Rattus norvegicus: one gene and its partners. The protein of the gene in region 1 purifies or fractionates together with the protein of each later gene. This does not show direct contact. Links are inferred from orthologs where the notes say so. Each region holds a gene or a part of one and is shown in the gene's direction. Other genes may lie near its edges.

Region 1 (3,647 bases):
TCTTAAGGTGCTTCTCAGCTACTCGTTATTCCTCAGTTGGGAATTCTTTGTTTAGCTCTGTACCCCATTTTATAACAGAGTTATTTGATTCTCTGGAGTCTAACTTCTTGAGTTCTTTGTATATATTGGATATTAGCCCTTTATCTGATGTAGGATTGGTAAAGATCTTTTCCCAATCTGTTGGTTGACAGTATTCTTTGCCTTACAGAAGCTTTGCAATTTTATGAAGTCCCACTTGTCGATTCTTGATCTTAGAACATAAGCCATTGGTGTTTTGTTCAGGAAAACTTCCCTAGTACCCATGTGTTCAAGGCTCTTTCCCACTTTTTCTTCTAATAGTTTGAGTGTATCTGGTTTTATGTGGAGGTCCTTGATCCACTTGAACTTGAACTATGTACAGGGTGATAAGAATGGATTGATTTGCATTCTAATACATGCTGACCTCCAGTTGAATCAGCACCATTTGTTGATAATGCTATCTTTTTTCCACTGTATGGTTTTTAGCTCCTTTTTTTAAAGATCAAGTGACCATAGGTGTGTGGGTTCATTTCTGGGTCTTCAGTTCTTTTCCATTGATCCACCTGCCTGTCTTTGTACCAATACTATATAGTTTTTACCACTATTGCTGTGTAATACAGCTTGAGGTCAGGAATAGTAATCTCCCCCACCCCCAGTTCCTTTATTGTTGAGGGTAGTTTTAGCTATCCTAGGTTTTTTGTTATTCTAAATGAATTTGCAAATTGCTCTTTCGAACTCTATGAAGAATTGAGTATGAATTTTGATGGGGATTGCATTGAATCTGTAGATAACTTTTGGCAAAATGACCACTTTTACAATATTAATCCTGCCAATCCATGAGCATGGGAGGTCTTTTCATCTTCTGAGATCTTCAATTCCATTCTTCAGAGACTTGAAGTTATTGTCACACCGAGGTATTTTATATTATTTTTAACTATTGTGAAGGGTGTTGTTTCCCTAATTTCTGTCTCAACCTGTTTATCCTTTGAATAGGGGAAGGCTACTGATTTGTTTGAATTAATTTTATATTGCTACCACTTTTCTGAAGTTGTTTATCAGGTTTAGGAGTTCTCTGGTGGAATTTTTTGGGGTCACTTAAGTATACTATCATATTATCTACAAACAGTGGTATTTTGACTTCTTCCTTTCCAATTTGTATCCCTTTGATCTCCTTTTGTTGTCTGATTGCTCTGGCTAGGATTTCAAGTACTATATTGAGTAGGTAGGGAGAAAGTGGGCAGCCTTGTCTAATCCCCGATTTTAGTGGGATTGCTTCAAGTTTCTCTCCATTTAGTTTGATGTTGGCTACTGGTTGGCTGCATATTGCTTTTACTATGTTTAGGTATGGGCCTTGAATTCCTGATCTTTCTAAGACTTTTACCATGAAGGGGTGTTGAATTTTGTCAAATGCTTTCTCAGCATCTAGTGAGATGATCATGTGGGTTTTTTTTCTTTGAGTTTGTTTATGTAGTTGATTATGTTGATGGACTTCCATATAGTGAACCATCCCTGCATCCCTGGGATGAAGCCTGCCTGATCATGATGGACGATCATTTTGATTTGTTCTTGGATTTGGCTTCTTGATTGTAAACCAAGTGTCTTTCATGTTATTTTATTCTCTTTCCTTCTCTCTCTTCACTTTGTCTTCCCTCCTTCCCTCTCTGTCTCCCTCCCTCCCTCTCTCCCTTCCCTTGACCTCTTTCTTTCTGATGTTTGGTTTTTGTTCTTTTTAGACTGGGTCTTACTGTGTAAACTTGACTGATCTGGAACTGACTTTGTAAACCAAGTCAGTTGGCCTTGAACTCACAGAGATCTTTCTGTATTTGCTTTCTAGGGTGTGGGATTAAAGGCATACACCATCACCTGGGCACATCTTTCATTTCTTACAGAGCCAGCATATTTGTTTTTAGGATATGTGAACCTGGAACTAAAATGCAAGCAAGGTCCATTTCACAGTCTAGTTCCCTAGAAAGCTGAAATTTACTTAATTGGCTTGTCAACAAAAGAATGACACTGATGAGACTCATTAAGGTACCATGCCTATGGAAGTTTGAATATTCAAATGATATTTATTTATTAACGCAAAATTGTTCTCTTATGTCAGCCATTGCTGTGTGGGATTAGAGCCAGGAGAAGATGGAGAAGAATTTTACAAGGAATTACTTCCATCAGCTGCCGAAAATTTTCTTGTCCTGGGAAGACGATTGCAAACATGTTTTATCAATGCAACTAAGGTATGTATTTAGTGTTGTATGGCCAAATAATTTTCATTCTTTTTTTTCTCCTGAAACAAAGTTCCACTGTTTAGCCCAGGCTAGCTTCATATTCAATTTATAGCTTTGCAGGTCTCGAGAGTCTCAGCCCTTTTGCCTCAGCCTCCTCAGCACTGGGATTACAAGAATGTGCACCATATTTATCCCTCCCTAAGTTGTCCCCTGTCATTTTTCAAATATGCTATATGTGGCTGAACACACAAGTAGAGTAGTAAATTTAAACATCTTTACCCAAAAATTACAACCAAGAACTTAGTCTTTACATTATAAAATGTAAATGTTAGCTAAAGAATACTGTATGATTTTGAAGAGTTTGTATTACCACTTAATTTGAGGCAACATACATATATACTTATATCCATGGCATCACTTCTCTCCAGACCAAATTTCTGACACTTGGGGATAGTTAGACCGTAGCTTTTATTTTTTAATTGACATATAAAGTTGTACTTACTTTAAGGGAACTATATAATATTTTTGATACTTTTATGTTTTATGTAATGTTTATATACAGAGAAAGAGAGAGGATGGGAGGGGAGGAAGGAAGAGGAGAGCATGGTGAAAAATAATTCAAAAATGTTCTGCATTTAGTCTAGTTTCTCTAAAGAAGTGCCACATCAGTACATCAGACTTTGAAATGGAATCTGTGACCACACCTAGAACAGCAGCAGATGCCATATTATTTTTTGAATTTGTAATAGGATCTTTTCAGAAGCAAATTTTTGAAGACCTTGTGTTCTGCCACTCTTAAATGTCCAAACCTGTTAGAGCTATTTTGTATACATATTTGATAGTTTAGAACATGTAGCTTGTACTGTTTGCTGTCTAAGTAAAAAATCGGCCAAATGAGAAGTCATTAGGAGTTTATTGGTTGGTATTGGCAGCTTCTGCTTCCATTCTTGTGGATAACTAGATCAATTATATAACTAGCTTATCAATTTCCCATTTATGGTGCCCATTCTTCCCCTAACAGCTTGACTTGACCTTAAGTGATTGTCTTCAAGATTATCTAACTGTTCTCACAGTCAGGCCTTGAGTGCATTTTTGCTCAGTCCTCAGTCCTAACTTTGAGAGTAGGAATAGGACCAGAAGTTGAGAATTTCTTCATCTTTAATTCTTTTTCAGTCAGTTACATTAAGCTAGAATGGTACAGCAGAGAACTCAGATTTCAACTTGAATTTCAAAGACTTCTCATCTTTGCAGGTGTTGGGAATCAAATCCAGGTCTTCTGAAAGAGCAGCCAGTGATCTTAACCACTAAGCCATCTCTCCACCTCCTTGATTTCACTCTTAAGATTTTTTTATTATATGTGATAGTTCAGTATTACATTGTTGGACTTATATTTATTTAAAAGAA
Region 2 (4,292 bases), on another chromosome or scaffold:
CATTTCACAAGCATTAGTTTGTAGAATGAATGAATGTGTTCATTACATTAAATGAGAAAATAGTGTTTAACCTCTCCAAGCTCCAATCTCTTACATGGACAATGAGGACACGTAAGCACACATTTTGCTGTCCCTCTATCAAGAATAATTCCAAAACAACAGTATTTGGGGGAAGAAACAGGCCTACAAATCTGATGATGTCTTTAAAATTTGTTTCAAATATCATTTTTTTTTGCGCTATTTGTTTTTCACAACCACAGAAATCTTTTCAAAAGCAAATTTTAACTGTCTACATTTTTCTTTTAATTACTTATTATCTATTATGTATGATACATACAATTACTCTATATACCCATTTATACATACATAAGCACATATGAGACACACTGTTTCAAACAGAAGTTTACAGCTCCTAATGTTACCTGCTGGTGTAGAATGACTGTGGAATTGGAAAAAGTTCCTAGAGTAAGAAGGCAAACATCCGAGAAGGTGCTTTCACCCAAGAACCCCCCTTGGTACCCAGCAAATGACAGCAAAATGCCAGAGCTTGGCATGGCCCTTCTTCCTCCCTCCAGCAGGGCTGGTCACGCACTAAGCCTCCCCTTTCTTCGGCCTTCACTTCACACTTCTTAACCTAATAAGCAAGCTGCAGCAGGAGGCTGTCCATCCTGATGCTCCTCCACTCAACCAGAGCATGAACTCAGGGGGTGGGGGTGGGGGCGCTCCACTTTCCCAGACACTTAGGGAAGCTGGAAACTTTTATTCACTCCCTTCTTACGGAAGCCACTAACTGGGAGCCCCCAGCATACACCTGAGTAGCTGGAAGACTTTCTCACCTCTGTAAGATCCGCCGGCGCTCCAGCAGCCCCAAAACAGAGCTTCCCTAAAACGCAAATGTTCCCTGAGCTCCTCCCGGCCGCTGAGTGACCCGCCCCGACCTCACCTGAGGGCGGCTCCGCCAAGAGATGGTTCAGGAAAGCTTCGGAGACGGTGGACCGGAGAAGGACTCTGCAGAAAACACTGTCATAGTCCGCCACGCTCCGGCTCCTGGGCGGCCGCACCTTAGCAGCCGCTCCTCCCGCCTCCCGATCCTTCCCCAGCTCTTCCAGGGCGGCCGCAGCCTCTCGCATTGCACGCCGGGAACGCGCTGCTCTTCCCAAAACTTCTAATCCCAGTATGCACAGCCGCAGCGCCGAACTGCACTCTGGGACGTAGAGTCCTCTTCTCACGGCTTTCCCTCATCCACAGTGAAAAAAGGTCTTGGAGGGGGAAACATAGCCGTAAAGCTTTTCCCCCAGTCGTGAAATGTAGTCTTCCCTGGTATCCGGGGCCTAGTTCCGGCCTTGGCTGGCTGGGCGGGGAGTGGTGTCGCCTAGCAGCCGGCGCCGCTTCGGCTTGTTTGGGAAGAGTTGGCGGGAGCAGCTTGAGTGCGCGAGGACAGCTATTGGAAGCGAGAGGCCCAGGCGGTGGCCGAACCCGGACGTGATCGCTGTAGATGAGTGACTGCTGCTGTTTTGCCCGTCTTGGTTTAGGTGGGTGGATTCTCGTGAGCCGGAGCAGCTTAGTGTCGGTCACAGGTTCATAATCCTGGGGGACAGCGTGCAGCCTACCTACCCAGTCCTTCTATCGCTCTTTTCCGCAGTGCCTCTGCCTCCGTGTTTGAGCTTGGTTCCGCGCACACTTCATTTAGCTCAGTCTTTATTTATCCACTTTAAAAATCCTCTCGTCCCCTGTCCTCAGAATCGGAGGAGGTATTCAAAAACTTCCAAATATCTTGAGAGTTGGTACCATCATTGATGATAAGGGACTTGGAAAAGGGGACTCGGGGTTTTAGCTCCGATTTTGTTTTAGCAAAGAAATAATAATTTAGCATGTGTATGATCGTATAGTCTGTGACAGGTGAACTAATTCTCATCTTGGCTGTTTGCCTATGCATCTGTTTTTCGGTTCAGGAGCCATAGCTCTCAGCCAGCACCTAGGGAGTTAAGTTAGAACGATCATGATCATGTAAACACTGCAAATGCCATCTTCCCTGAAAATGCTGAAATCCATCTGCTTTGTTGTAGGAACTGAGAGGCAGTGAAAGAATTCAAGATGCCACCTAATATAAAATGGAAAGAATTAATCAAAGTTGATCCAGATGAACTGCCACGTCAAGAAGAGTTGGCAGATAAATTATTGATATCCTTATCCAAGGTACTTAATACATGATTTGTACACAGATCCTGAGGTACAATGTCACGAATAGAAATTGCTTCTTCAAGTAATTGAACGCTATAAGCGGAAGAGTGATTGTATTTTATGCACAGGGTATGAAATAGTCCATGTATTTTGTGTGTTTGTTTCCTTAGGTGGAAGTAAATGAACTAAAAAATGAAGATCAAGAAAACATGATACATCTGTTCAGAATTACTCAGTCACTAATGAAGGTTTGTGGGAAAGAGTGTGTAGGAAAAGAAACTTTTTTTAAGAGTAACATAAAGAAATATAACCAGGGGGTCAAATAAAATGCAAAACCTTTCCCCTAAAAGCTAATTGTGAAATGACAGGATTCTAGATTCTTTATAAATAAATACTGAGAAAGAATATGTATTAATTCGTTCCGTTAAGGTAAAAGCACATAGAAAATTTGTAGGGTCTAAACAGATTTTGGGTTGGTAGTTTAGGGTATACTGTCCAAGGATTTGAGGGCATATTTTGGCTCTTAGCACTTTAGAAACGAATAAAGGATTTTTGAATCATAGTTGGCCAATATAGAAATATGCTTATGAAGGAAAATTAAATGTATTGTATAGATGGAAGGGATTAGAGCTGATTAGCTCCAATTATAAGAAGAGATTAATACATTTATTAATAATAACAATTGGGATAGAAAAAGATAATGAAAACATTGAGAATAGTGGATATACTTAACAGAAAAATCAGGTTCAAAGTCTTGCCCCTCTAGAATTTCTAGCCTTAAGTATTTAGTTAACAACTACTTACTGACTGACTCTCTGCGCCCGTCACTGCACACACTAAAGACTGAGATAGCGAATTTCACACCATTTCGATTTCCACTGTTTATATTGCAGCGTAAATAACCCCGGATCCCCCCCTCTTGTTTTAATGTTCAGATGAAAGCTCAAGAAGTGGAGCTGGCCTTGGAAGAAGTTGAAAAGGCTGGGGAAGAACAAGCAAAATTTGGTAAACGTCTAGGACAAAAAAAAAAACCAAACTACTGTGGTTCTATTTATTAGATGGTTGGAAGTTTATCAGATTCTATAAAGTGTGCATTCAATTCATATTGGAAGAGGCTACATCCTTGCCCAGTTCCAGGGACTGACCTGAGTGCTGAGGTAGGGGCTGAAGAAGAGAAAACACAGACACACAGAACAGTTGGATTCGGTCGCACTGGGCTCACTGACGGAGAAGCTGCCACACCCCAGAAGCTCAGTGTCTTTATTCGATCCACTTGAACAGAGTAGTGGAGTTGTTGCAGGGCCGAACATTAAGTCAGGTGACGGCATACAGATAAACAAGGCGACAGGATTGCTGGCAGACAGTTGAACAGGGAGGCAGAGCTCGCTAATCTGAGTAGGAGTAGTCTCTGTAGCGGAGTCAAAGCCATGAGAGGGAGCAAACTCTGGTGGATATTTTCTACAGATTCTGTCAACATCCACACTCAGACTCAGAGGGAAGGCTTTGCCATTTGCCATAGGCCTGAGACTTTGAGTTACTGACATGGCTTTGCCCGTGTCAGCAGGTACACGTTGACTCAGGACCTCACGCACTCAAGTCTTCCTCTGCCCTCTACATCGAGGCATTTCTACAATGCATAGTTTATGCATTTAGTATATGATAATTACTTTCCTTTACATTATCTGATAAGAGGATGGAATCTTTTACAGAGAATTGTACTATTTTATTGAAGTTTACTTAGCATCTGTCTGACTACAGGAAATTTAACCAATTGAAACATTTGTTGTTGTTTTTTTTTAATAGAAAATCAATTAAAGACAAAAGTAATGAAACTGGAAAATGAACTGGAGGTATATCCTTTTGTATTTTCTTGCTTTTGAATTTCCTTGTAATTGTTATTAATTAAAATATTTAAAATTATTTTCAAATTTTCCTACTGCTGGGATGGAAAATACAAGGCTTTGTGCTCAAGAGTTTACTCATTTTACAGAATGTGTTTTTGTGCTTTGAATTCTAAGAATTCTGCATCAAAAAAGGAAAAACGGTTAATATCTGAAAGGAGCTGTCAGTCTAGAGAACATCTAGAAAGTTTAGTACCAGCAGAGGGGAAG
Region 3 (4,301 bases), on another chromosome or scaffold:
AGGGAGAGACTTGGAGGTGGGGAATGAAAGGAGGGGCAGGCTGTGATTGGCATGTAAAGTGAATAAATAAATTAATGAGAAAAAACAGCAAAGAAGAGGGGTAAGGGGAGGGCGAGAGAGGGAGGGGGAAGGGGAGAAGGAGAAGGAGGGGGAGGAGGAAGAGGAAAAGGAGGAGGAGGAGAAGGAGAGGAGGAGGAGGAGAAGGAGGAGGAGAAGGAAGAGGAGGAGAGGAGGAGGAAGAGGAGGGGAGGGGAGGAAGAGGAGGAGGAAGAGGAGGAGGAAGAGGAGGAGGAAGAGGAAGAGGAGGAGGAAGAGAAGGAGAGGAGGAGGAAGAGGAGGAGAGGAGGAGGAGGAGGAGGAGGAGGAGGAGGAGATGATCATCCTGGTAGAGTATGTTATCCTGCCTTCGCAATCACCTTTTCTAGTTCTACCTCATTATGAACTCATTCAGTATAGAATTAAAGCTTGAATGGCCTTTGTACCTGGAAATCAAAGTTCCCAGCACTCAATCCCTGCCAGGGATGTGGCCTAAATGAATCACTTGTCTTATAGCTCACAATCTTGGCATCATTCATGCCTCTCACACTGAAACAAGTATCACCTTTAAAACAAAGATTCTGTTTCAGTATCTGATGTGAGCCGGCGGGTGCAGTTTCTAAAAAGCACCCAGGAAGGTCTGCGCAGTCCGCCCGGTAGAGTATGAAGTGCGTAAGTGACATGGTTCTAGACCTAAACACGTTATGGGAATTAAGTGGGGAGAAATTAAGGATACTAGTGATGTCTAGGTTCCTCTCCCAGAGATTCTGACTTAACTCATTGAAGTGCTCCGAAGAATCTAGAGTTAACAGGATTTTACATATGCAAAGGAGAAAACATTTAATGAGCTCTCAAATGATTTGCCACAAATATCAGAATGGGTACATCTAGAAAAAGAAAATACCACCATTATCAACTCCTCTAATCAGTGGTTATCTATGCTAGTGGTTCTCAACTTTCCTAATGCTGCAACCCTTTAATACATTTCCTCATGCTGCAGTGGGTCCCAACCATTAAACTATTTCATTTCTATTTTATAACTGTAATTTTGCTGCTGTTATCAATTGTAATGTAAATATCTGATATATGGGATATCTGATATGTGACCCCTATGAAGGGATCATTTGACCGCGAAAGACCCACAGGTTGAGAACCACCAGTCTACGAGCTTGCGGGTTCGGTCCTTGCCTTTTCCACGCCCACTGTCTGGCCCGGTCCCACCCATCAAGGCAACGTTCGACCTCCTCCAAGTCCATTGGTCAATCTGTTCCCTTCCATTGTCTCCGTTTCCGGCTCCACAAGATCAACTTCCGGTACAGAGCGGCACGTGACCGGATACGGGAAGTGGCGGCTTCTGGCCGCTTCTTTTCCCAGCTCAATGAAAAGCGTTTCATAGCTGCTCTTGCTGCCGGCGCCCTTGTAGAGTCCGTCTTGGAGCACCAACCTCGGCCGGCCGGCCTCGCGGTAAGCTTCCGGCCGGGGACCGGCGGTCCTGGAGGTGGTAGCCTAAGTGGAGGCAGTGTTCAATCTGCGTCAGGTCGGCCACTCCCAAGTGACACGGCCCACCCACCCTGCTGCCCTCCAGGGCTGCAGAACCGCTGCTGCAGAGCCCGGACTGAGTCCTTACTTCTTCCTGTCCTGGGCTCTGGGAGAAGACGGAGCCCGGAGGCAGCCTAGGGTCAGTCCTCAGTTCCGCCCATCCGGGACAGATTTCATTTTTGCCAAATTAGCGTGGTTTGGGAGAGGAGAACGTGACCTGGCTTCTGCCGGTCCAAATCAACAAATATGTCCTTATAAATCTTAAAAGGGCGTTGCCCAGCCTCTGAGCAGTTTTCGTTTTTTGGATGACAAGTCTTGAGATGTCACTGCAGTAGATGGGCCCAACCCACTAAGGCACTTGCACTGACACACAGTGTAATGATGGCCCTATCAAGGTGCAGGAAGTAAGATACGCGATGAACAGAGGTTAGCTGCCTCTGTAACGGGCAGCCTTGAGGTTTTAGAAGGCGAAGAACTAAAGAGAACCCAGAATATGGGCGTGGGTTTTAGACTTGGTAAATAGTTGTGAAGGCCACTATTAATAATACTGGCATAATATAAAGTTCTGTATAAACATTGGAGAATTCATCACTAACCCCAAAGAAGACTGACTGTTACAATTCTACATCATCCCATTCATGTCTTTCAGATTCTCCACTATACCCCCAGAGTGCTACCTGGCACTTAGTGAATAGTAATATTTGTTGAATTACGTCTAATTTCTTTTATGAGTTATAACCAGTCCTCTGCTGTTTGGCTGTTTACCATGCACGGAGTCTTTAGTATGGTGAATATTGGCCTGAGTTAATTGTTCTGTTTACCAGTTTTTACTGTTTCAATAAAACAGGTTACACCAAGAGGTTGTAGTAAGTACCCAACACACAAACCTGTGTTAGAGCACCCTCCCTCCTCCTCTTCCTCCTCCTCCTCCTCCTCCTCCTCCTCTTCCTCCTCTTCCTCCTCTTCCTCCTCCTCTTCCTCTTCTTCCTCTTCCTCCTCCTCCTCCTCTTCTTCCTCCTCCTCTTCTTCCTCCTCCTCCTCCCAAGAGATGACTGTGGAGACCTAGGAGATGATACTCATGTCCCCATTAGATAGCAAGCACTTGTCTCGTAAATACAGTAAGTGCTCTAGACATTTGCATGGGAAGAGCAATGAGGATTAAGACTTTTACTGAGTCAGCTTCATCCAAATGGAGAAATGTACGTTTGAATAGGGAAAAGATAATCTGGCCTGCATGGGAAAGTGCTTAACCAAAGATTTCAAGTCAGAAACAACACAGTGCTTTGAATGCAAGGCATGGCTTGAGAACAGTGGTATAATGAGGACTGGTTTAAAGTTATTTACTAGTTTTTCAGGGAACTTGTAGAAACTTTAAAAAAAGAAAAAGGTAACAGGTGCTATTACTTAAAGGCAGTAAATCTTGGTTGCTTGGTAGCCAGATGGGGGAAAAGTAAATTATATGTAGATGGAGAAGTCACTGCGTACGCTAACAGATTTCACGTTGGCATGGAGGAAGCAATGAACTAGGGCAGAGTTTGAGTCTGGGTTGTTTTCTTATAGATTCAAAAGTTGGAAAGAGGTAACTTGGAGGGAACTATCCCTGGTCTGTTGTTGAGTGCAACAGTATTTCCCTAAATGTTTACTAAGCACTCGCTGTGTGCCTCGTGGCAAATGCTAGGAATATAAAGATGGATAAGATGAGATCCTTGCCGAGAGAGAACTGCTTTTAGTAGGGTCTAGAGTGCACTAGCTAGAAAACACTGGTTGGAGAGCTGCTGCCAGTAGAGGTAAGCTGGGGAACAGAAGAGGAGGAAGGCTTCAAAGAAGATGCAGTGTGTTATCAGAATGGTTGAGGGTGAGTTGGAATTTGCAGTGACAAGAATTTCAGAATGAGGAAAATAGTGAACAAAGCCCAGAGACAGTACAGTAAACTGCAGTGTCCACTTGAGTTTGAGGATAGGATAGAGTATCGCTTTAATGTCACACCTGGGCCCTAGGGCACATTAAGGGGTGTGCCACAAGCTAGAGTCATCTGAAAGAAGGAAACCGCCATTGAGAAAATGCCCCCGTAAGATCCAGCTGAAGGGCATTTTTTAAATCCGTGGTTGACGGGGGCTGGATCATAACAGCAGTTGCATGCCTGACTTGCAGAAGGGACTGCAGGACTGTTCTAAAGCCTCCCTGCCATTTGTGATCCTCCCAGCTGGGTGGGGGAGGCCCCTTCCTCATTGCTTACTGCTGTGTGTCCTGTGGGTTTTTAGCCTTCCCAGCAGTTGAAAGTAGGATTCTTGCCGCAGATGTCAGTCGTATTTCCCAAGTGGTTGATGGTATGAAACCTTTTGGGTTTCTGGTGTGCATCTTTGCAATAGGCAAAGGGCGGCTGCACATGTTTTTCCTTAGCACCATCCACGCCCCCTTTTCTTGTGCGTGGTCTCTCACCAGATTGGCGCTCCAACCATAGGTGAAGTTGTCTGCTCAGTGCACTCCAGGGATCTGCTTGTCTCTGCCTCCCCAGCATGAGGTTGCAGGCAGGCTTCCCCATGCACTGCTTGTTAAATGAGTTCTGGAAACTAACAAGATTGGACTTGTGTCCTCCAATTACTAGGAAACACTTTTCCAACAGAGCTGTCGCCCCAGCTCTATACCGAACATTTTTTCTATATTTATTGGCTTTTTGCACGTGTCTCTGTGTGTATGCTTGCATATATGTATATATGGGTGTGTGT

What was found.
Region 2: the proteins of Iqcb1 (region 1) and Cep290 purify together in Homo sapiens (co-immunoprecipitation; 8 studies listed by BioGRID and IntAct, counting the BioPlex papers as one, with this or other methods). This does not show direct contact. The link is inferred for Rattus norvegicus from reciprocal best matches to the Homo sapiens genes IQCB1 and CEP290.
Region 3: the proteins of Iqcb1 (region 1) and Exoc1 purify together in Homo sapiens (affinity purification with mass spectrometry; 3 studies listed by BioGRID and IntAct, counting the BioPlex papers as one, with this or other methods). This does not show direct contact. The link is inferred for Rattus norvegicus from reciprocal best matches to the Homo sapiens genes IQCB1 and EXOC1.

Annotation. Positions count from the first base shown.
Region 1 is NC_086029.1:77,455,433-77,459,079, reverse strand, and holds part of Iqcb1 (IQ calmodulin-binding motif-containing protein 1), read left to right. Parts: intron 1-2,122; coding exon 2,123-2,252; intron 2,253-3,647. UniProt on the Homo sapiens protein: Involved in ciliogenesis. The function in an early step in cilia formation depends on its association with CEP290/NPHP6.
Region 2 is NC_086025.1:37,195,423-37,199,714, forward strand, and holds the start of Cep290 (centrosomal protein of 290 kDa), read left to right. Parts: upstream 1-1,360; 5' UTR 1,361-1,532; intron 1,533-2,066; 5' UTR 2,067-2,094; coding exon 2,095-2,196; intron 2,197-2,351; coding exon 2,352-2,429; intron 2,430-3,116; coding exon 3,117-3,186; intron 3,187-3,984; coding exon 3,985-4,031; intron 4,032-4,292. UniProt on the Homo sapiens protein: Involved in early and late steps in cilia formation. Its association with CCP110 is required for inhibition of primary cilia formation by CCP110.
Region 3 is NC_086032.1:32,011,196-32,015,496, reverse strand, and holds the start of Exoc1 (exocyst complex component 1), read left to right. Parts: upstream 1-1,369; 5' UTR 1,370-1,500; exon of another isoform or gene 1,501-1,714; intron 1,715-4,301.